Saccharomyces cerevisiae S288C: one gene and its partners. Each later gene encodes a partner of the first gene's protein in a complex. Each region holds a gene or a part of one and is shown in the gene's direction. Other genes may lie near its edges.

Evidence for each region.
Region 2: the proteins of TAF5 (region 1) and TAF6 are in contact, whole or in part, in a cryo-EM structure (PDB 6T9I), measured with the Saccharomyces cerevisiae proteins. Residues at the interface, in NP_009757.1 of Saccharomyces cerevisiae: Trp162 (codon at 4,165), Ser166 (codon at 4,177), Leu167 (codon at 4,180), Glu168 (codon at 4,183), Ile169 (codon at 4,186), Tyr170 (codon at 4,189), Lys248 (codon at 4,423), Thr249 (codon at 4,426), Asn252 (codon at 4,435), Leu253 (codon at 4,438), Tyr256 (codon at 4,447), Glu260 (codon at 4,459), Glu434 (codon at 4,981), Ser441 (codon at 5,002), Arg442 (codon at 5,005), Ile445 (codon at 5,014), Lys446 (codon at 5,017), Leu447 (codon at 5,020), Asn449 (codon at 5,026), Leu450 (codon at 5,029), Gln451 (codon at 5,032), Leu452 (codon at 5,035), Ala453 (codon at 5,038), Leu454 (codon at 5,041), Pro455 (codon at 5,044), Ser456 (codon at 5,047), Val457 (codon at 5,050), Cys458 (codon at 5,053), Met459 (codon at 5,056), Tyr460 (codon at 5,059); in NP_011403.1 of Saccharomyces cerevisiae: Gln51 (codon at 3,928), Lys54 (codon at 3,937), Phe55 (codon at 3,940), Arg57 (codon at 3,946), His58 (codon at 3,949), Ser59 (codon at 3,952), Lys60 (codon at 3,955), Arg61 (codon at 3,958), Asp62 (codon at 3,961), Lys71 (codon at 3,988), Val75 (codon at 4,000), Asn91 (codon at 4,048), Pro129 (codon at 4,162), Arg130 (codon at 4,165), Leu131 (codon at 4,168), Pro132 (codon at 4,171), Thr133 (codon at 4,174), Phe134 (codon at 4,177), Thr135 (codon at 4,180), Thr136 (codon at 4,183), His137 (codon at 4,186), Trp138 (codon at 4,189), Leu139 (codon at 4,192), Ala140 (codon at 4,195), Val141 (codon at 4,198), Glu142 (codon at 4,201), Gly143 (codon at 4,204), Val144 (codon at 4,207), Gln145 (codon at 4,210), Ile149 (codon at 4,222).
Region 3: the proteins of TAF5 (region 1) and TAF9 are in contact, whole or in part, in a cryo-EM structure (PDB 6T9I), measured with the Saccharomyces cerevisiae proteins. Residues at the interface, in NP_009757.1 of Saccharomyces cerevisiae: Phe104 (codon at 3,991), Pro105 (codon at 3,994), Gln107 (codon at 4,000), Ser109 (codon at 4,006), Ile110 (codon at 4,009), Pro111 (codon at 4,012), Pro112 (codon at 4,015), Arg154 (codon at 4,141), Tyr539 (codon at 5,296), Arg550 (codon at 5,329), Leu551 (codon at 5,332), Ala559 (codon at 5,356), Leu560 (codon at 5,359), Val561 (codon at 5,362), Ser562 (codon at 5,365), Tyr563 (codon at 5,368), His568 (codon at 5,383), Phe575 (codon at 5,404), Leu578 (codon at 5,413), Gly579 (codon at 5,416), His580 (codon at 5,419), His587 (codon at 5,440), Gln589 (codon at 5,446), Thr590 (codon at 5,449), Leu593 (codon at 5,458), Cys596 (codon at 5,467), Asp597 (codon at 5,470), His598 (codon at 5,473), Ile599 (codon at 5,476), Pro601 (codon at 5,482); in NP_013963.1 of Saccharomyces cerevisiae: Lys106 (codon at 4,349), Pro110 (codon at 4,361), Lys111 (codon at 4,364), Met114 (codon at 4,373), Leu115 (codon at 4,376), Leu117 (codon at 4,382), Ala118 (codon at 4,385), Arg121 (codon at 4,394), Asn122 (codon at 4,397), Lys124 (codon at 4,403), Ala125 (codon at 4,406), Leu126 (codon at 4,409), Pro127 (codon at 4,412), Gln128 (codon at 4,415), Val129 (codon at 4,418), Met130 (codon at 4,421), Gly131 (codon at 4,424), Trp133 (codon at 4,430), Gly134 (codon at 4,433), Val135 (codon at 4,436), Arg136 (codon at 4,439), Leu137 (codon at 4,442), Pro138 (codon at 4,445), Pro139 (codon at 4,448), Tyr142 (codon at 4,457), Cys143 (codon at 4,460), Leu144 (codon at 4,463), Thr145 (codon at 4,466).

What each region holds. Positions count from the first base shown.
Region 1 is NC_001134.8:613,945-622,204, reverse strand, and holds TAF5 (chromatin modification protein), read left to right. Parts: upstream 1-3,681; coding exon 3,682-6,078; downstream 6,079-8,260. Other genes in the region: phosphatidylinositol-3-phosphate-binding protein BEM1, read right to left, coding at 1-1,333; KTR4 (putative mannosyltransferase), read right to left, coding at 1,902-3,296; YBR197C (uncharacterized protein), read left to right, coding at 6,349-7,002; YBR196C-B (uncharacterized protein), read left to right, coding at 7,575-7,679; YBR196C-A (uncharacterized protein), read left to right, coding at 8,032-8,181. UniProt on the Saccharomyces cerevisiae protein: Functions as a component of both the DNA-binding general transcription initiation factor complex TFIID and the transcription coactivator SAGA complex.
Region 2 is NC_001139.9:296,029-303,505, reverse strand, and holds TAF6 (TATA-binding protein-associated factor TAF6), read left to right. Parts: upstream 1-3,777; coding exon 3,778-5,328; downstream 5,329-7,477. Other genes in the region: CUE3 (Cue3p), read left to right, coding at 95-1,969; ribosome biosynthesis protein NSA1, read right to left, coding at 2,137-3,528; SLD3 (Sld3p), read right to left, coding at 5,568-7,477.
Region 3 is NC_001145.3:738,938-745,678, forward strand, and holds TAF9 (chromatin modification protein), read left to right. Parts: upstream 1-4,033; coding exon 4,034-4,507; downstream 4,508-6,741. Other genes in the region: FUS2 (Fus2p), read left to right, coding at 1-22; TRI1 (Tri1p), read left to right, coding at 248-928; RNH1 (RNA-DNA hybrid ribonuclease), read left to right, coding at 1,329-2,375; GTPase-activating protein RNA1, read right to left, coding at 2,575-3,798; BCH1 (exomer complex subunit), read left to right, coding at 4,812-6,741. UniProt on the Saccharomyces cerevisiae protein: Functions as a component of both the DNA-binding general transcription initiation factor complex TFIID and the transcription coactivator SAGA complex.

The sequences.
Region 1 (8,260 bases):
TGTTGTCTTGGTTAGTTGAGGCAAAATTAGAAGTTTGAGATGCTGTTGCAAAGGTTGCTGTATCGTTTTCTTGTAATGTTTTAATATTGTTTTGATTTTCGTCTCTTTCAAATTCTCTGTCGAAACCATTATTCAAAACAACGAATAAGGAATGCACCATTTCTGAGCGAGATATATAATCGGGAAGATTCACTAGGTCTGCCACATATATATTCAAGTCCTCCTTTCTTTTTTTTGTTATGCTATTGGTAACGTATGGAACGGGTCCAGGGATATAGGGCATTATACGTTTGGACCATTGTCCACCTGCATCCCTCAACTTACCGGCCTCTGCTGGGAACGCATCCAAAAGTTGAACCTGCAGATCGTAGAAATCTTGATAGTATCTTTTCAGTTGCCTCGTCTTACCGTTAGATAATTCACAGCAAACCAAAAACCAATACTTCTCATCTTCTAACCCAAAGGATTCAACGGATGCTTTCACTAATAATTCACCGTCAACCAGCTTTGCGCTTTTGTTCTGAGGTTTTGTAATGGATTGCTGCTGCTGCTGCTCCACAGAACCAAGGCTAATATTACTAGCTTTGTATCTTGCAATGTTGCTTTTCCATTCTTGAACAGTTGGTAGGTTAACTGACTTGATGTCTTCTATTACGTCGTTACCTGTTGCGTACCCCGTGGCAATATCTATGATGCTAACAAACCCAACAGGAACAAGGCCGGGCCCTCCAAGTCGACCAATTGGCTTAGCAATGAACCATTCACAGTTATGGTGGGCGCAAATAAACAAATTCTCTCCCACATAAGTTGTCAACTCATCAGCTTTTTCTGCCTTAAAGTCATATAAAACAATGGCGTATAACGATCCCATGTTTAATGAATCATTTGTAACCTTCCGACTTGAACTATTGGATCCATTCACAGAGGAAGGTTTAGTTCTATCAAACACTTCAAAATAGGTTTTGGGGACAACACCCTCTTTTCCAGTAGAAGGATTTGAAGCTTTATACCAATCCTTCTCATCTCCAGATACATAAAAAAATTCACCTTCCATGAAAGATAGTTCCTTTGAAGTTTGTGCCTGATAACTGTATTTGGCTTTTATAACTTTCTCTGGAGAAGTAATATCTTTAGAATTATGTCTGTTTTTTGGTGAAGAGTCCCGTTGGCTTTTCACTGGGGTGGAAGATGAAGAAAGGTACCTCACTGGTACTGTCTTAATATGCTTTATAACACTCCCATTATCATGAGAAGGTGTGGAAATATCTGCGGATGTAATTCTGCCCTTCGACCCATTACTATCTCTTTTTGAGAGTTTGAAGTTTTTCAGCATTTATATGGCTTTCTTGACAATTTCTTTTCACACAGTGCTTTCAACGTGCATCCATATGGGTTTAGTATATTAGTGAAAACATATGCTGATTAAGATGGTACATCAAATTATGGCTGTATTGTCACTTTCTTTTTTTCCTGTTCGTAAATGAATGGGGCCCTTCGCCATTTGTCCGTTTAGGGTAATATTAGTTAAGAAGCCGTTAAGGCCCGGGAAGAATGTCGAATAACAATAGATAAGAGATATTGTAAAGTTTTTGGATTTCGGTTTACCATATTGTATTGAAATGATTGAAAATATAACGACATTATAATTCCATATTATCAAGTGACATTTTTGAGGAGTAGCTTTCTCAAACCAATAATACCTTCAACAATACTATCTACTGGCTGAGAAACATTTCATTTTCCATGAATGTTCACCTGTAACATTTTTAGGTTGCTACATTATAAACTTTTCTTAATTCCATAATATATATCTATCTATGTGCGTCCTAAATTAAATCATAAAACCCCAGATGTGATGCCGTTCTCGAAAGCAGCGGCACAAATTCTCAAAGCTAATGTCTTCAATACATTTCTAACTCTTCCTCAGACATAGAGTGTCTTATCCAGGTTGCCTGGCAATTTTGGTTGTCTAGATCACTCCAAGGAGTGAATTTGCCTGGTACACAATTTCCATTACACCTATCTGAATCTGCTGGACAAGTTGGACAGTTCGTGTACGGAGTATGGTGATAACCTATATCCCTGAACCAATGGATGCTTGACTTATCCGCAAATAAAGCAAGTGCCAAACTTCTTACAGGGGCATCACCCCACCTTTCATAGTAGAATCCTCCCTTTTCTTCAAGATATTGCATATATTTTTCATAAGGTTCTGACCTCAAAAAGTCTAAATCGACTATTTCAAAATTGGTCCAGAAATGACAAGTTGAATACCCTTGAGTATAATCATAATTTTTTGGATTTTGAGAGTTATCTTTTAGCCATGCGAAGGCTCCGTTGACGTTCAAATAGTTTGGGTGTTCCTCGACAAAATCCATAGTTGAAGTCCATAGCGTTTCGATGGTTTGCGGACTATCATAGAGGTTCAAAACAAACCCATAAATCTTGTCATTCTTGTTCATAAATTGGAAAACGTCATAGTTAATTTTGCAATAGAAATTCACGTTTGGCTCTAATCTCCACACATATTTATATTTAGATAGCAGAGGATGATGGTAAAATTCTTTAGAATAGAAACGACACATGTTATGATAGGATTCCACCTCTGCATACTGAATGTTCTCTTTACTCATTTTGTCCATTTCTTGGTCGTATCTCTCCCTATCTATGCTATCAGGCATATTCCAGTTATCTGGACCAATAGTGCCAAATTCTACTACACGGTCCTTAGGAAGAATACTTTTTATTCCATCTTTGAATTCGTCAGTAAATTCCTCATCGTTAAGGAAGGTATAGGGATATCCAAAATTCTTATTGTACTCCTCTTCTAGCTGTTGAATAGAAGAAATTATATCCTCTAAATCAGAATTTCTCACCAAACTCAAAATAGTTCCTTTTGCCTTGCCGGCTAACGGATCCCCGCTACGTACCAAATTGTCCACCTTTGGCTCAGAAATTTCTTGAAGTAAAAACTCCTCGTACAACTGTTTATTTTCAGCAAGGACTTCATTCGGGTCAAAAGTGTCCTTTTCATAAAGGGGCTCGTGTAGCCTGTCCATTATGCTATCTAACACCTCAGCATCATGATCAGGAAGTTCATCAGCGCTTTCAGTTTTACCTGTAATACTTTTGTAGCTCTCCCGGAGAGAAGCATACTGGGACTTGGCACTATCCTTGACTGCTTGCAAATAGTTCTCATTCGCCGTTAAAAAGTAAAGAACAACGGTTACGGCAATCGATATTAGAATGATCACTGAAAGTACAGGTTTCAGTATCCTTTTTGAAAGAAACCTCATATCAGTTCGTATGGTTCACCTTGTTGGGTCTAAACTAAAAATTGTGTTCTGCTGTAACGGCCTATTGTATATTATACAGCCGTGCAACACCGTGAAAGTATCTGCATATCAAATGGTTCAAAATATTTCACTACATGCAGTTAGAGAACGTCTTATAGAGCTCGTTCCGTTGAATGGAATTCTCCCCTTAGCCGGGTAAAAGTAGCTGTAAATATCATCTTTTACGGGTTCAGATGAATTGTTCAAAAGCAAAAAAGTTTCAAGATTTCAAATGAAGTCTACAAAGTGGCAGAAAGAGCAATAAAGCAGGCATAAGGGTAGGAAAAGAGAAGGAGAAAAGATACGAGAAACTCCGGGTTCAAGTTGAGATACTTGAAAAATAAGAATGTCACAGAAGCAAAGTACGAATCAGAATCAAAATGGCACGCATCAGCCACAACCAGTAAAGAATCAACGAACTAATAATGCTGCTGGCGCCAATTCCGGCCAGCAGCCACAGCAACAGAGTCAAGGCCAGTCTCAACAGCAGGGGAGGTCCAATGGTCCGTTTTCGGCGTCAGACTTGAATAGAATTGTCCTAGAGTACCTGAATAAAAAGGGATACCACCGTACAGAGGCCATGCTGAGAGCCGAGAGTGGACGTACACTAACACCTCAAAACAAACAATCACCAGCAAATACTAAAACAGGTAAATTTCCTGAACAATCATCAATTCCTCCGAACCCCGGGAAGACAGCTAAACCCATAAGCAATCCAACTAATTTGTCATCCAAGAGAGATGCAGAAGGTGGTATAGTATCTAGCGGGCGACTAGAAGGGCTCAACGCACCTGAAAATTATATACGTGCATATTCAATGTTGAAAAACTGGGTAGATTCGTCGCTGGAAATTTACAAGCCGGAACTAAGCTACATCATGTACCCAATATTCATTTATTTATTTTTAAATTTGGTGGCCAAAAATCCTGTTTACGCCCGTCGTTTCTTTGATAGATTTTCTCCCGATTTTAAGGACTTCCATGGCTCAGAAATTAATAGACTTTTCAGTGTCAATTCTATAGATCACATCAAGGAAAATGAGGTCGCAAGTGCTTTCCAATCTCACAAGTACAGAATTACTATGTCTAAAACCACTTTAAATCTTCTCTTATATTTTTTGAATGAAAATGAGAGTATTGGAGGTTCATTAATAATTAGTGTAATAAATCAGCACCTAGATCCAAATATTGTAGAATCAGTAACCGCAAGGGAAAAATTGGCTGATGGAATAAAAGTTCTCAGTGATAGTGAAAACGGAAATGGTAAACAAAATTTAGAAATGAATTCTGTTCCTGTCAAGCTGGGACCTTTCCCAAAAGACGAGGAGTTTGTTAAGGAGATTGAAACTGAATTGAAAATTAAGGATGATCAAGAGAAACAACTAAATCAACAAACTGCAGGTGACAATTACAGTGGAGCCAACAATAGAACCTTATTGCAAGAATATAAAGCTATGAATAACGAAAAATTTAAGGATAATACTGGCGACGATGATAAAGACAAAATTAAAGATAAAATCGCCAAAGATGAGGAAAAAAAAGAGAGCGAATTGAAGGTGGATGGTGAAAAAAAAGACAGCAATTTATCTTCGCCAGCACGTGATATTTTACCTTTACCACCAAAGACGGCACTAGATTTGAAGTTGGAGATTCAGAAGGTCAAGGAATCTCGTGATGCCATCAAACTAGATAATTTACAGTTGGCCTTACCAAGCGTGTGCATGTATACATTCCAAAACACAAATAAAGACATGTCATGTTTAGATTTCAGTGATGATTGTAGGATAGCGGCTGCTGGCTTTCAAGACAGTTATATCAAGATCTGGTCACTCGACGGCTCATCACTTAATAATCCTAACATCGCGTTAAATAACAACGACAAGGATGAAGACCCAACGTGTAAAACTTTGGTGGGGCACAGTGGTACAGTATATTCAACAAGTTTCAGTCCGGATAATAAGTATTTACTTTCTGGTTCTGAAGATAAAACCGTCAGGCTATGGTCCATGGATACTCACACCGCGCTAGTAAGCTATAAGGGCCATAATCACCCTGTGTGGGATGTTAGTTTCTCCCCGCTAGGCCATTATTTCGCCACTGCATCGCACGACCAAACCGCAAGGTTATGGTCATGCGATCACATATATCCATTAAGAATATTTGCAGGACATTTAAATGATGTTGATTGTGTGTCATTTCATCCGAACGGTTGCTATGTGTTTACGGGATCCAGCGATAAGACGTGTCGAATGTGGGACGTTTCTACAGGCGACTCGGTTAGGTTATTTCTTGGACATACTGCGCCCGTCATTTCTATTGCTGTTTGTCCAGATGGTAGGTGGTTGTCCACTGGTAGCGAAGATGGTATTATTAATGTATGGGATATTGGTACCGGCAAAAGGTTGAAACAAATGCGTGGCCATGGTAAGAATGCCATTTATTCCTTATCATATAGCAAAGAGGGAAACGTACTTATTAGTGGAGGTGCCGATCATACAGTCCGTGTATGGGATTTGAAAAAGGCCACTACTGAGCCAAGCGCAGAACCAGATGAGCCATTCATTGGATACTTGGGTGACGTTACTGCATCTATAAACCAAGATATAAAAGAATATGGTCGCAGAAGAACAGTAATACCTACAAGCGATTTAGTAGCGTCGTTCTACACCAAAAAGACGCCTGTTTTTAAGGTCAAGTTCAGCAGAAGCAATTTAGCCCTTGCAGGAGGTGCTTTCAGGCCATAATTCACACTGAAAAAAATAACAGCATGGAAGTGATATGTAATAAGTATAACCTAATCCGATATGTAACTATTAGATGCTTTTTCGACATCGTACTTGACCTGCTCGGCGGTTATCATAGCGTCTTCTTTAGCCTTTTTTTTTTCGCTCAGTCATCGGGGCCAAAACAAGAAAGGCGAAGAACAGAAAAATGAAAAATGTAACTGGTTGTTGTAAAAACCTTCCAGAGAAATAAGATGAAATGTATGTTGCTGGCACGAACGAAGACAAATAATGGGAGTGAAGCAAACCCCACCAGTCCAGGTGAAAGTAAGCGACGCGGATTCCACCAACAGAAGGAAATCTAGTAGCCAGGAAGGAAACCCTCAGCTGGTTCAATTAAAGGCAAAGAGCGACAAAGATAAAAGAAAGGGATCTTCAGATTCCACTGCCTCTATAATGGGCAGTTCCAACGCACTTCCGACCAAAAACCTAACCACGCCTCCAGCACTAAACCCCTTAACGACCAGCATTAGTAGGGGTAATACTGCATACGAAAGAAGCGTAAATGGTAGCCGTATAACAATGCACTCAAACCTGGCACCTACGGAGACGCAAGACGTATCATGGTCTGAAATCGATACACTGGATGATGTGAAGAAGATGGCGAAAGAACCTATCGTCAACGACGGGTTCCCACGAGATTTTGAGAGCAATCTCACGCAAATGCGCAAGTCGCACGCTCAACTACTGCGATTAATGAGGGAAAGAAATCAGCGACTAAAGTATGCCAAGCTGAGGAGCCCTCCTCATAAGGATCAGCATAATTCTGCCACGAATAAAGATCAAGAACCAGACGAGGTATTGCATGACCCGGAAATCGCACTTGACGGTGAGAAGTACGTGAGCCAAGTTGTCGATACTATTAAAGATGTTCACCGATGCTGATGACATGTATGGGTTGAAAATATTTAGAGGATGCTAAAAGTCCCGTCTAAAATAGAGGAAGTCATGGATTACATTATCACCTTTATTGTCCTGTTCCGTCTGGCTAATTTGGGACGAGGAACGTTTGTCTCCATTCGCAACCTTTTGAAACCATATGAACGGCGGCTAATCTGACAGATGTCTTATATTTCTAGGATTGTAGAAAGCCTCCTCATCAAACCACCTTGTTTGAAAAAGGCACTAGTGCGGTTGCTTTACTTGATCTAGTATTCTCCTACCTTGGAGCGGTCCCATATCAACTAAATTCAGTTTTCTGACTGAGTTAAAAACTAATGTAGCGACACCACTTCCATTGGTGCCTCCGTTATTTTTTTTTTGTATGTTAATGCTAAATAATACACCGCTATGTATTTCAGGGCACTACTTCTACACATCAACGGTACTAAACATTTCGCTCAAGATCGGTCCGCTTTCACGTATTTGGATGCTATGCAATGTTGACTATTCTTAGTGGATAACATGCGGCATTTCCTGGCGGCTATTTGCATCGCTATGTAAGTGGCAATGTTCGGATGTGGGTAGTACTTTCAAAAGAAAAAATATTACTGAAGAAGGCATACTACGCCAAGACTATTTTATTCTCAGCACTTGTCCTACGTGGGGTTAGAGGCGAGTAAGACTTTGGCCCCGCTGCGGAAGCAAAGAGAATTTTGCCATCGGACATGCTACCTTACGCTTATATCTCTCATTGGAATATCGTTTTCTGATTAAAACACGGAAGTAAGAACTTAATTCGTTTTTCGTTGAACTATGTTGTGCCAGCGTAACATTAAAAAAGAGTGTACAAGGCCACGTTCTGTCACCGTCAGAAAAATATGTCAATGAGGCAAGAACCGGGATGGTAACAAAAATCACGATCTGGGTGGGTGTGGGTGTATTGGATTATAGGAAGCCACGCGCTCAACCTGGAATTACAGGAAGCTGGTAATTTTTTGGGTTTGCAATCATCACCATCTGCACGTTGTTATAATGTCCCGTGTCTATATATATCCATTGACGGTATTCTATTTTTTTGCTATTGAAATGAGCGTTTTTTGTTACTACAATTGGTTTTACAGACGGAATTTTCCCTATTTGTTTCGTCCCATTTTTCCTTTTCTCATTGTTCTCATATCTTAAAAAGGTCCTTTCTTCATAATCAATGCTTTCTTTTACTTAATATTTTACTTGCATTCAGTGAATTTTAATACATATTCCT
Region 2 (7,477 bases), on another chromosome or scaffold:
ATGAAAATATAAAACACTAGTTCTCATAAATGAGAGACATTCGAGTTAACTATTGAATCTTGGAAATTTTTATAGGATAGAATCACTAAGAATAATGTTATCAAGGTACAACCGCGTTATTGAAATAAATGGGGGTAATGCAGATATTTCTCTGCCCATTGTCAAATTTCCACCGTTTAAACTCAGAGCTCAATTAATTGAAAAGGACCCCGTAGTATGGCTGCATCTAATAGAAACCTATGTAACGTATTTTGAGTATTTGATGCAAGGTGCTAACGTTGAATTATTAGATGAATCTACACTTGATCATCTTCGTTTATTTTTGAGAACTTACTTGCATGAAATTGCTGATGAGGAAGGAAAGTTATTAAGTCTCGGTATCAACCATGATGTGTCTGAACAGTTATATTTACTAAAAGGCTGGATATTTTCATTGATCAAGAAATGCGGGTTATTACATCTTCAGATTTTTGGTGACTCCCTGTGGAATTTGATCAAAGTATATGTTAGACGTAATCCAGATTCTATTCGTGGTTTGATCGATGGCTCATTGAAACCACGGATCAACACGCAACGTGTACAATTGGACAAATCGTACCAAGTTCAACAGCATTTGAAGCAGTTAATAGAATCTGGAAAATTTAAAAGAATAGATTTAAGGTGCGTTGAAGATCTGCTGTCTGCCAAATCCATGCAGCCAAATAAGTTTGCGGAGAACTTCTTTACGGCAAATTGGATTGAAATTTTAGAGGCATTATGGGCAAAGGGACAGGGCCGGGGTCATAAAGAGGCTAGAGAATTGATCATTATCAGTTTATTTTCTGTTTCTGCTGATCGTTTACTAAAAATAACTAAAGAATTAGGCATAAGCAATTTTGAAACTTTGGCGTTATATCCTCTTTTAGGAACAATGCTCATAAATGAAGGAGTCCACAAAAGGCTTCCTGATTTGAAGAGCAAGTTACTATTTCTGAATTTAGGGGGGTTGTCAATGGACGAAGGAGACCATATGAGCTATCCAACATCATCAGGTACTGAAGTTAATGAAGAACAACTGTCCGCGTTGATGGAATTGTTCCCCCAGTTTTCTAAATATCAATTATCTCAAACGTTGCTTGCCTATGATAATAACATTGAATTAGTAACGAATAAAATATTTGAGGATCCTACCATTATCGAAGCATTCTCCAGAGAACCTGCGGAGGAAGAAGTAGAGCCGGTGTCAGATGGTGATAATGCATCCTTTACTGAAGAACTGAGTATATTGGATAGAGGAGATAGCTCAAAAAATAAAGAGCTAGACAAAAAGATTATCTCGGAGGGTGTTCCGGATGAATTAAGAAATAAAACTTTGACAAGAGCATTGAAACTTTTATACGAGGCTGATGAAGATGAAAGGGATGACACTTATGATGAAGCCGATGTGAACCGGTCCGATCCTTCGAAAAGAATTGGACTTCAAGAAGACGAAGAAAGCTATGATACAAAAGATGATTCTAATGAAGTGCGACAAGATCATAACTATCATATTGTTGAAGCTTACTTGTGGAATCTATTGAAAGAGGATCCGAAATTATTTGAGAGATCAAAAAGAGGTACAAAAGTCAGGAAAACTATGAAAGAAATGACTTCATGGTCGGATGAAAAAATCGAAGGTTGGTGTCGGATGTTAGAAAGATCTCCTACCCGAGCAAGACTTTTAGAAAAGAAGTTTATGTTCAAAGGAAATAGCAAAACAGGGAAAACGTCTTATGTTCATAATCGTGATAGCCAAAATGATGGAAATGTCGTCAAAGAACAAGCCAAACAAAAAAAATCTGAAAATATTAAGAAACATGAACCTCAATCTACTGAACAGAAGAAAAGACAGCATGCTAAGAATGAAAAAAGGAAAGGGGCTAGAGCTAACCATAACCGTAAGAAGGGGCACGATAAAAAATTGGCTCGTGCGGGAAATAACGCTATTTGATAAAATGCATCAGCATACAAGATAGACAAGCGTATGTAAGTTTACTAGACGGTATACAATTATGTAACGTATTATAAGTTATTCAGCGTCGCGTTCAGGAAGTGCTTTTTTTAATAATTTTTCCCGCCGACTAGTAAAACTTTGCCTTCAATTAGCGTCCTTTACTATTAAATTTTGCTTTTCTTACTGGCTTTAGAAGCAGCTACCTTTCCCTCCAATTTATTCCAAAGCTCATCTGCGTCTTCTTCAAGTTCTGTAACCTTCCTTTTTTGCTTCCCTTTGGCAGCTTTCGCACTTGGACTTAGTGGCATCTCGATTTCAACGTCATCCAGCATAACAATAAAATTTATACGGGACCCAACATAAACCTTCACCAGCATTTTGTTAGTTTTTATATCGAAGATCCGAACATACCTATCTAAACCACCTTGTAAAAGATATTTGCCGTCATGTACATGAATATAGGTTGACGAACCAGTGATATCATCTCTACCCACCTTGCCCAACATTCTTCCATTACCATCGAATTTAAAAACATTCTTTTTGTAGTCAGTAGTAATCACATTCAGTTCATTAAAGGTTTCAGATTGAAAATTCCCCAACGAAGAGACAACATTTTCTCCCTTGGCATCAAAAACTTCCATCTGAGATAATGGTTCACGGTTAGGTAATAAATCTATCTGAGCGAACGGTTTTCTGCCATGTTGTGTGCTGTATTTGGTGAGGTGGGACCAACGGGTTATGGCTGCAAACTGGTAGTTCAGCTTACCCTTTTCAGTTTTACCAGGGGAGGGCTCCAAAAATCTTAGGGCCATGGGCCATACTGGGACTCTCATATCCAACCTGTCGTTTTTAACATTCTTGGCTTCCCAAATTTGCTTTAAAGATTGGAAACTCGAATCTATTTCCACTAATTTTATTAAATTCTCCTCCCCTCCGTATGCAAATATATATTTATCAGTATCGGTATCTTCTAGATCATATAACTGAAGAAATTCTACTGGTGCTTTCAGTCCAAGGGATGCTAGTTTTATTAACTTTTTATCTTCTCCTTTTTTTATAATATGTAATAATCCCGATTTGGTAGCAGCTACGAATGTGTTATTCGACGAATCCTTTTTTATGGGACATAATGTGACAAAACCATCCACCAACTTGGTTCTTTTAACAGATTTACTTGAAAGTGATTCCAATTTGGCATCATCAAAAAGGTCTGAAACTGAGCTGGTTATCTCAAACTCGGATATGTCAAATTTGGGTAGATCATCGGAAAGGCTCTTTTCATTTTTGCTTTCTCCTTTGGGATCGACCTGGAGAGCTTCATTTTCTTTAAGGTGTTTCGAAATCTTTACAAGTTCGACGACCCCTGAATTCCTTGCTAAGATGGCTTCATCTTCGGATATCACCCACATCCTGTCAACGTAAGCTTTCAATCCTTCGGCTAGATGAGGTGCCACATGAAAAGGCTGCAGTGCTGATTGTACGGAAGTGTCAGTCCCGATGTTACACAAAACTTCCTTTATGGATCCACTATCCACACAGCTGACTAGTAACCTCATTTTACGATCGAAGCTGGGCCTATTTATGGTTAAATTTTCTCTGTATTATGTTCATTGAAGTGAGGCTTCGAGATTGGGCATCGCTTTACAAAATTTTTCAGCTTTATTTTATTACCAAAAAAATACCCGGAAACCATCAATAACAAACACCGATTCAAGTAGCAGCAAAAGTAGTTCATGAGCGAAAACAATAGATTGGCTTTAAAAAGGAAGCAAAGGACGCCTCAGTGTAGTTGATAGCCTGTTAAAATGTCTACACAGCAGCAATCTTACACAATTTGGTCTCCACAAGATACTGTTAAAGATGTCGCTGAGTCGCTTGGGTTGGAAAATATCAACGATGACGTGTTGAAAGCACTTGCTATGGACGTTGAATACCGTATTCTAGAGATTATTGAACAGGCAGTCAAGTTTAAAAGACACTCTAAAAGAGATGTTTTAACTACAGACGATGTATCGAAGGCCCTGCGTGTTCTGAATGTGGAACCTTTATATGGATATTATGATGGCTCTGAAGTTAATAAAGCTGTATCATTTAGTAAGGTTAACACAAGTGGAGGACAGTCGGTTTACTACCTGGATGAGGAAGAAGTAGATTTTGATAGATTAATAAATGAGCCATTACCGCAAGTGCCTCGTCTACCAACTTTTACTACACATTGGCTAGCAGTTGAAGGGGTTCAACCTGCCATAATCCAAAATCCAAATTTGAATGATATAAGGGTATCCCAACCACCATTTATTAGAGGTGCTATTGTCACTGCTTTGAATGATAACAGCCTCCAAACACCTGTAACGTCGACGACAGCAAGTGCTTCTGTGACGGATACAGGCGCCTCTCAACACCTGTCTAATGTTAAACCAGGACAGAATACTGAAGTCAAACCTTTAGTGAAACACGTTTTATCCAAAGAATTACAGATTTATTTCAATAAGGTCATTTCAACCTTGACAGCGAAGAGTCAAGCTGATGAAGCTGCACAGCATATGAAACAAGCAGCTTTGACTTCACTACGAACTGATAGTGGCCTGCACCAACTGGTTCCATATTTTATTCAATTTATTGCCGAACAAATCACACAAAATCTTTCCGATTTACAATTGCTAACAACAATTTTGGAAATGATTTACTCTTTACTAAGCAATACTTCTATTTTCCTGGACCCTTATATTCATTCGTTAATGCCTTCCATTTTAACCTTGCTATTAGCAAAAAAACTTGGTGGATCACCAAAAGATGATTCGCCGCAAGAAATTCATGAATTTTTAGAAAGAACGAATGCACTACGTGATTTTGCCGCATCTTTGTTGGACTATGTATTGAAAAAATTTCCTCAAGCATACAAATCCCTGAAGCCAAGAGTAACTAGGACACTGCTAAAGACATTTTTGGACATAAACCGTGTTTTTGGGACTTACTATGGGTGCTTAAAGGGTGTATCGGTACTAGAAGGTGAATCCATCAGATTCTTCTTAGGAAACCTAAATAATTGGGCGCGCTTGGTATTCAATGAAAGCGGAATAACTCTAGACAATATAGAGGAACATTTGAACGATGACTCCAATCCAACTAGGACCAAATTTACTAAAGAAGAAACTCAAATCTTGGTTGATACTGTAATTAGTGCATTGTTAGTTCTAAAAAAGGATTTACCAGATTTGTACGAGGGTAAAGGTGAAAAAGTTACGGATGAGGATAAGGAAAAATTGCTAGAGAGGTGTGGTGTCACTATTGGATTTCACATTTTGAAAAGAGACGACGCAAAAGAATTAATTAGTGCGATATTTTTTGGCGAATAGTGAGAATCGGTTTATACTAATAGTACAACGGTAATGTTATATAACAGTTTTTACATACGCCATTGTATGTATATATATATATATGCATGATGAGTTATTTAATTGTATACTCAAAGGCCCCCGAAGTGCGAAATTGTTGTAGCTTAGTTTTATTTTATTCCCTTTTCGTCCAAGAAAAGCTACAAAGATGGAGTTGGGTCAACTACTTGCCAGCGAAGGTGGTCTCGCAGTTTCTTATTCTATGTGGATTCTGGAGCAAATAAACGTCTTCTTACTCTCCTTTTTGAGCTATTTTCCGGGGGCTTATTAGTGGGAGTAGAGGTAATATTGGAGGTATTTTTTCTGCCTTCATGCGTATCATCATCCTTGAAATTTAGCGGCGATTCAATGATGCTTTGAAGTTGCGCCTTTTTATTAGGTGTCACAGTTCTTTTTTTCACAGCAGGAGTGGCTTGAACTTGTACGTTTTCCTCAGAGTCTACACGTTCATGTAGGCGTATCGTTTCATTGATATCTTTACGTTTCCCAACTCTGCGAAAAGAGTTATTCATAGTTTTGTATGCATTAATAGTTGAGTGCGAGAAAGGCGTTTTGAGTGTGATAGTTGATGAATTCGGTACTCTTGTTGTGCTTAAGTCAGAGACAGAAAACTGCCGTTTTTGTAAATGATTCATCGTTAGATCAGACTTCGTCCTTCCCAATTGTGAAGGGCGCTTTAAGCTTCTAGTTTCACTTTCGAGAAATTCATTCAAGTTAGAGTTCGTTCTAGAATTCAAAAGTTCAGGGGTGGGCGAAGCTATAGATTTTCTGCTGAACAAATTAGCGTCCACCCTTCTCAATGCGGGTGAAGATGGGACGGAATTAATGATTGAAGAGCGAGAGGCACGTTGACTCGTGGATAACCTGTTATACGTTTCTACAGTATTAGGTGACGATACATTTGTGCTATCGTTGACCTTTTTCAGGGCTCTCTTTGGTCTCATGCTTGGTCCCTTGAGCTTTTGAATTATAAATTCAACGGCGTGTGGTACCTTTTTGTTGAAATATGGAATAAGAACATAATTTATGAACCCAACCAATGAGGCTTCTTTGCTTTTGTCTAGGATATTTTTTTTATGCTCTTGTATTGTTCCATTTGATGCTTCTATGGCATCTGGGTTGGGCGTTTCACTTGATAGTAGAATGTCCAAGATGCATGCTCTATCTAAGTACAAGTCTAACTGTTCACAATAATCCAAAGATGTTGTTATTCTCTCGATTCCTTTGTCTTTTTCGCTGGTTTTTTTCTTCGATCTTCGACGAACTAATCCCTTTTTTGTCAAATTAAGTGATCTTTTCTTCAATTTTAATTTATACTTTTTCTCAAAATCTCTAAAATTCCAATCTAAATCGTTCAATCCTATTATCTCTAATAGCAATAATATTTGTAGCTTTATTTCGCGGGATTTTAATACAACACATAAATCAGCAATGGTTGAGCTGTTTTTGTTTTCATCTTGGATAACAAATTTTGTGAGACAGTTCTTCCTTTTTTCATCTGCTATGGGACTAGAAAAGGGCTCTAATAAAAGCCTGTTATCATGTCTATCTTTGAATTGTACAATTGAGAGAAGAAATTTTTGCAGCATGGCTTGATAGGCTATTTTGTAACTGTCACTTCCGTACTTGGTTCGGCAGGTATTTTTGAGCCTTACTAAATTTGACTTGACGAAATATGCGAGAGGCGTATGTATGGAAAAAAGAGCATCATAATACTTACTTTCTATGTACTCTTTAGGGTCTGAATAGTAGTCATTAATTTTTGATTCGCCTTTCATATCTGGGGGATTCATATCCAGTTTAAGGTCTTTGTCCTTCTCAAGCTTACACGAGCCCTTGGGTTCTTCTGACCATAAATGAAGAAGCTCTTTAAATTTCAATTCGTCCCATGTTTTTAACGTTTCACGCTTAGCTCTTTCTCTTTCAACTGTCGTTACAACTTCCGTACGCCTTTCTGGTAAGCTGTAACCATTGAAATAATTGTACGGCCACTTAACCCAAAATCCTGGCCCATATTCCTCTAGTAGAAAATACTCTTTTCTTGATTTCATGCAGATGTGTTTCAATTGACGTCGATTCTTCTGTTGCAGTAATTGGAGAATGTTACTGG
Region 3 (6,741 bases), on another chromosome or scaffold:
CAGAAAACTTTTCGAACTTTAACAAAAGAGTATATTTAGCTTATAGTTTTTAGAATGTTTTGTTTTCTTTTTTATTAAAGTAGTACTACTGCGCTGGAGCAGTATATATGTTGAACTATAGTCAGTCACCTATAATTTGTTTGCTGGCGCGAAGGAGAAAGAAAATTTTAATTAATTCATGAAAAGCCTTAAGAAAAAGTTTAAGAGGAAATGAGCAAATAGAAGGCAAATAGAGGGTGAAAGCATTATGGCCGACATCAATAAATATATTCCGATGGTTGACGCTATTTTGAGCGTATCCAACCCCGATGAAATAAGCCCAAAAAGGGTGAGGAAAGCCCTGCAAATTCTCTATTCAGTTAATTTGGATTCACAAAGAAAGTTAATTAATGAATTGATTCTTGAGAGGTTCGGCGATATACAAGAAAACCCAAGAGTCTTAATTCCGAAGAACGACCTCATTAGTCGGGATCAAGAACTATCTTTGAGGTTACAGAAGGAAGAAGAAAGACCCTTGAGGTCTACGAGGAAAAGGAAAGGTAAAAGTGAAAGTAAATCTAAAAGGAAGAAGAAAAAGAATGATAGTCCTGATTCCAACAGCATTTCCGTCCGCAAAGTTCTGTTGTCAGCTCCTTTACAAAAGTTTCTAGGATCTGAAGAACTGCCACGAACGCAAGTAGTGAAGATGATATGGCAGTATATCAAAGAGCATGATCTTCAAAACCCAAAAGATCGTAGAGAAATTCTATGCGATGAGAAGATGGAACCAATTTTTGGCAAAAAAATGACGATGTTTTCAATGAATAAACTCTTAACTAAGCACTTGTTTAATCCCGATGAAATTGTGAAACATGAAGAGGAACAAAAGCAAACACCCGAAAAAGAAATCAAATTGGAAAACGAATCTCTTCCCAATTTAAGCGGTTGATCTTGGCTGTAGCACTTATACAAATTTAATGATTTTTTTTCCTCTTTGATGACATGTATAAAGCACACTGCACCTACTGTATTGTACTTGAAACAGGTAAATTAACAATTAATGTAGCATTAGTAATAAATAATTTCACTTCACGGCGTTAAAGAAATACTATGGCAAATTCGATTTGAGAATTTCGTCAAATTCTGATGATATCAATTAATGGCATATTTTTTTTATTTTTTATCTGGAGAAAAAAATGTAAAAATGACAGCAGCATCAACAATGAATAAAAGCAAGTACAATAGTCGTAAAGATCTATATTAATTTCATGGCAGCACAATAATACACGTTGTTTAAATTAGTTAAAGTGTCACTCCTTGCTTATCGAAGGAACTATCGATTCCTAATTATGGCAAGGCAAGGGAACTTCTACGCGGTTAGAAAGGGCAGGGAAACTGGGATCTATAATACATGGAATGAATGTAAAAACCAAGTTGATGGTTATGGTGGTGCAATTTATAAAAAATTTAACAGCTACGAGCAAGCGAAATCTTTCCTAGGTCAACCAAATACTACATCAAACTATGGAAGTTCAACGCATGCTGGAGGGCAAGTTAGTAAACCTCATACCACTCAAAAGCGAGTTCATCGAAGGAATCGGCCACTTCATTATTCCTCCTTGACATCGTCATCAGCATGTTCATCTTTAAGCTCTGCTAATACAAATACCTTTTATTCAGTAAAGAGTAATGTTCCAAATATCGAGAGTAAAATCTTTAACAATTGGAAAGACTGTCAAGCCTATGTCAAGCATAAAAGGGGTATAACCTTCAAGAAGTTTGAAGACCAATTAGCTGCGGAAAACTTCATTAGTGGTATGAGTGCGCATGATTACAAGCTCATGAATATATCCAAAGAAAGTTTTGAATCTAAGTATAAGCTTTCTAGCAATACCATGTACAACAAGTCTATGAACGTTTACTGTGATGGTTCAAGTTTTGGAAACGGCACGTCATCTTCAAGGGCAGGTTATGGTGCATATTTTGAAGGAGCGCCAGAGGAAAATATTTCAGAACCCTTATTATCGGGAGCTCAAACTAATAATAGAGCTGAAATCGAAGCAGTATCAGAAGCTTTGAAGAAAATCTGGGAAAAGTTAACTAATGAAAAGGAAAAAGTAAATTATCAAATCAAAACTGATTCAGAGTACGTAACCAAATTATTAAATGACAGGTATATGACGTATGATAATAAAAAACTTGAAGGGCTACCTAATTCTGATTTAATTGTTCCTTTGGTGCAGAGGTTCGTTAAAGTTAAAAAGTACTATGAGTTGAATAAAGAGTGCTTCAAAAATAATGGTAAATTTCAGATTGAATGGGTAAAAGGACACGATGGTGATCCAGGAAATGAAATGGCAGATTTTCTGGCGAAGAAAGGAGCATCTAGACGATAATGCTGTTTTTTGCTTGGCTTCTTACTGGACCTGTTGTACCTGTAATAGAAATATATATTTTATATCTTTTGCATACATATACATACATCAGCTATTTGGTTTTTTAACTTACCCGATAACTATCTATAAGCGTGTCACCATGATATTTGCCTGAACCTCGTCCACAGTTGATTGTGTTTATTTTTACTTTTATTCATAGCTATTTGATTTCAGTTTCAGCTAAACGTTCAGCAAGATCATCTACTTGTACTTCTAGCAGTTCCTTTTCAAGCCTTTCCGTTTCAATTTCTTCGAGTTTTTCATCCTCGTCCTCGTCTTCCTCGTCCTCGCCTTCCTCATCTTCACTATCGACCTCTTCAAAATCGTCAACCTCTAAATCATCAAATTTGCTTTGGAGCAAATCTAAAGCATCAGAATCTTCATCTAATCTGTTACCATTTATTTCTAGCTTTTCCAATTCAGGTAAATTTCCCTTTTCCATAGCCGGTAAGAAGGATACTTCAATGGTTTCTTGAGCCATTTCATTATATTCGAATTTCAAGACATGCAAATTGGGGAATTTAACTTCGGTGAATACTTTAAAGACTTCATCTGAACCAGCAGTTTTCAAAAGACAGTCGTTCAAATTCAATTCAAATAAACTATCCTTCCATGTAGGCAAGGCCTTAGCAAGGATCAAAGAAGCATGTTTCGTGAAAGTATTGTCTTGAAGATCCAAGATTTCCAAGTTTTTCAAGTACTGTAAACCGTAATGAATTAGCGTGGCGACACCTTTAGGCCTAATACCATTTTGGTACAGCTTTACGACTTTCAAACCTTCGGAGTGGCTTTTCAAACCCAGAGCTAAGTAGACTGCGGATCCATTCTCTAATCTATTTCTACCACAGATAAAAGTTTCCAAAAATGGTTTGGAAGCAGCTTTCTTATTTTGAGCGAGATGAAATAGGGCCTTACCAATCCTTTCACCAGCAAAAGGGCCCATACCATTGTTACTTAAGATCAAATGTTTGATATTCACGGCATGTGCAATGTAATCTTCTAGTAACTCGATTGTTCTTAGCCCAAACGCATTATCAGAAAGGTTCACAATCTCCAAGTGAGGACATTTCAACAGAACAGGCAATAAAAACTTCAACGAATCAACGACTTCGTCAACCAACCTCGAAGTGTATAAGTCAGCAAAATTTACTTCAACCAAAGATTCCCTGACCTGTGTATTTTCAGCGATGCATTTAGCTAATGCTTCCGAAGCTTCAGTACCGATTGTATTCCCTGAAAGGTCTAATTTGGTACAGGTTTTCAAAGCTGCCAATTCTTCCAGGTATGGTTTGATATCGTCACTGGTTGTTAACTTGAGTGCCTTCCCAGAGATGGAGTAAACTTGTTCTTCCTCGTGCTGAGGAACGAAGTGCAAGGTAGCCATAGCTAAAAATCTGTTTCGAAAGACAGCCTGTTAAAATGGCCTATATTCACCTTTTACCGTGATATTATGCCTTTGATCAATATCTTCCTAATAAATTTTTTTCCATTAATTGTCCCACAACGTGCATAGTGACATGCATTCCATGACCAAACTAAGAGCTTTAAATCAAAAGTAGAATTTGACATTATGAAACAACACGACAACAAGAAAAGACTAGAGGACTTCACAGACCATTATGAACGGCGGAGGCAAGAATGTTTTGAATAAAAACTCAGTGGGCTCAGTATCAGAAGTTGGTCCGGACTCAACACAAGAGGAAACGCCACGAGATGTCCGTCTTTTGCATCTGCTCCTCGCATCACAGTCGATTCATCAATATGAGGACCAAGTACCGCTACAATTGATGGATTTTGCACATAGGTACACACAAGGAGTCCTTAAGGACGCGTTGGTTTACAACGACTACGCTGGCAGTGGAAATTCTGCCGGCAGTGGATTAGGAGTAGAAGACATACGGCTTGCCATTGCAGCGAGAACACAATACCAATTTAAGCCTACGGCACCTAAGGAGCTCATGTTACAGTTAGCTGCGGAAAGAAACAAGAAGGCATTACCTCAAGTGATGGGTACGTGGGGTGTCAGGCTTCCCCCAGAAAAATATTGTCTCACAGCGAAGGAGTGGGACCTTGAGGACCCAAAGTCTATGTGAATGCACCGCTTATATATCATAAGTACACTAAATCAAGTTCTTCCGGAAGATGCGTCATGTAGAATGCATAATAGAGTAATATACACTAAATAATGCGCTAGTCGTGTATCGTGATCATGTTCTCTAATGTTCTTTTTCCTGCCTGCCCTTTCCTACATGGAAAGTTAGAGAAATGAGATCTACACGATAATGTAGTAACAAATGGACCCTTAAACATCTCAATTCATCTTCTTGAGAGCACTTTCCGCGCTGTATTGATTTTTAGAACGTGAAAAGGATAAACTGAAAACTTGAAGTCCTAACCATGTTGTCTCAAACCTCCATACCGGAAGTGAAAGAAGACGTGATAGGCTATGCGCTACACCAGAGGAGAGCCAGAGTGGGACAATTCCAAGACTTGGGTCCGCCTGATTTAATTACTTTGATCAAATCGTTACCTTCATCCTCGAGCACAACAACTGCTACTGCCTCCGCCAACGATAACGGAGCAACTTCAAACATCAATGGACAAGATCCTACGACCATAGTTACGGAGTTACATTCCCATGACAAATTAAAGGGGCAGATCGGCACTTTCTTTTACTGTATGGGTATCGATACTTCGGATCCAACTTCTATTACAATCTTTGCCAAAAAGATAACCGATCTTTTCTTAGACACGCCCCAAATTTGGTTTGGTAAGAAGAAGCACTTTCACGTATCGAAGATTTCTATCAGTTCTTGGAATGCGTTTAGGAAATATGATGTTAACATTATAGTTCACATTCCAGGAACTGTGCAAACCTACATTATAAATAGCGACGGTGAACAATCGCAACTTCCCTCCGTGGCAGAAGCGTCATCTGGCCGCAACTCACAGGATTTAAACGTCAACATGATTTGGGCGGAAACGTTTATGAGTGGTATTGTACGTGACATTATGATTATGAAAGATAATCGTGCGGATGGAGAATCCCAGAATTTGGTAGAAACACTAATTTTCAATCCATTTACCTCGGGTGAGTTGGAAGATGTTGCCAATAACTTTATTAAACTGTTCCCCTTGGTCTATGAAAAAGGTGTTTATTTAGATGCACCTACTCACGTTTTAAATCCCTCGTTAACCAATAATTATTTAGTGGAAACTTTAGTGGAAATAGTTAGGTTAACTAAGAGTTTGGAAGCATGTCGTAAAATGCTCAAGAAGTTAATAGAAATTCATCCAGAAGCAGTAATAATATTAATTCGTGTTTATTTTGCGTGCGATTTAGAGATAGATGCAGTTGACCTGATCAACGAGCAACTAAATTCCCCCTCTTCGTTCTTAGCCGACGATTCAAAGACTAGCCATATCCAGCTAATCTTCAAATCCGAATTATTAAGTATTCAAAGTGAATTCTTACTGGATGTCAAGAGAGATTACAAGCTTGCTAAGGAAGTAGCCATGGAGGCTGTTAACTGTGCACCAAACGAATTTAAAACTTGGTATTTATTGACTAGAATATACATTAAACTAAACGATATGTCAAATGCCTTGCTATCGTTAAACGCCTGCCCCATGTCACAGGTTAAGGAAAAATACGTTCTTAGAAGAATTGCGCCTATTACTTCAGATGAAAATCTTCATCTGCCATTACCATTGGATGCCTCAATTGAGGAGATTTCGTCATTGAACCCCATGGATGTCCAGTTGGAGCAAAAGTCCGCAGATCCAAACCTAGTCAATCTCTCTGCGTCAAGTTTAAAGTCTACTTTCCAACTAGCCTATAAATTATTGACAGAAATTGTCCAAATAACAGGATGGGAGCAGCTGTTGAAATATAGATCAAAAATTTTCGTTATGGAAGACGAGTACCAAGGCTCCACTTCTTCCATTGATGAAGCAGAAGTTCGCGGTAATGATATATCCAAAATGAGATCAAAGAGGCTATGCGAAAGATGGTTGGATAATCTCTTCATGTTACTATACGAAGATTTGAAAACTTACACCGATTGGCAATCAGAGCAATTGTATTTTGATGCTCAAAACAGTAAATATCACAAATTAACTGTTGAATGGGAATTATTCGGCCTTTGTGCGAAAAGACTGGGACATCTTCCAGAAGCTGCGAAGGCTTTCCAAATTGGGCTTTCCCAAAGATTTTCTCCAGTATGCGCAAAGAATCTATTACAGTTTTACATTGACGAGCATAAGCGTATTAGGAGGGATTCAGTCTCAGCAAACTCCGAGTTAACCTCTTCTCAAATATTGTCAA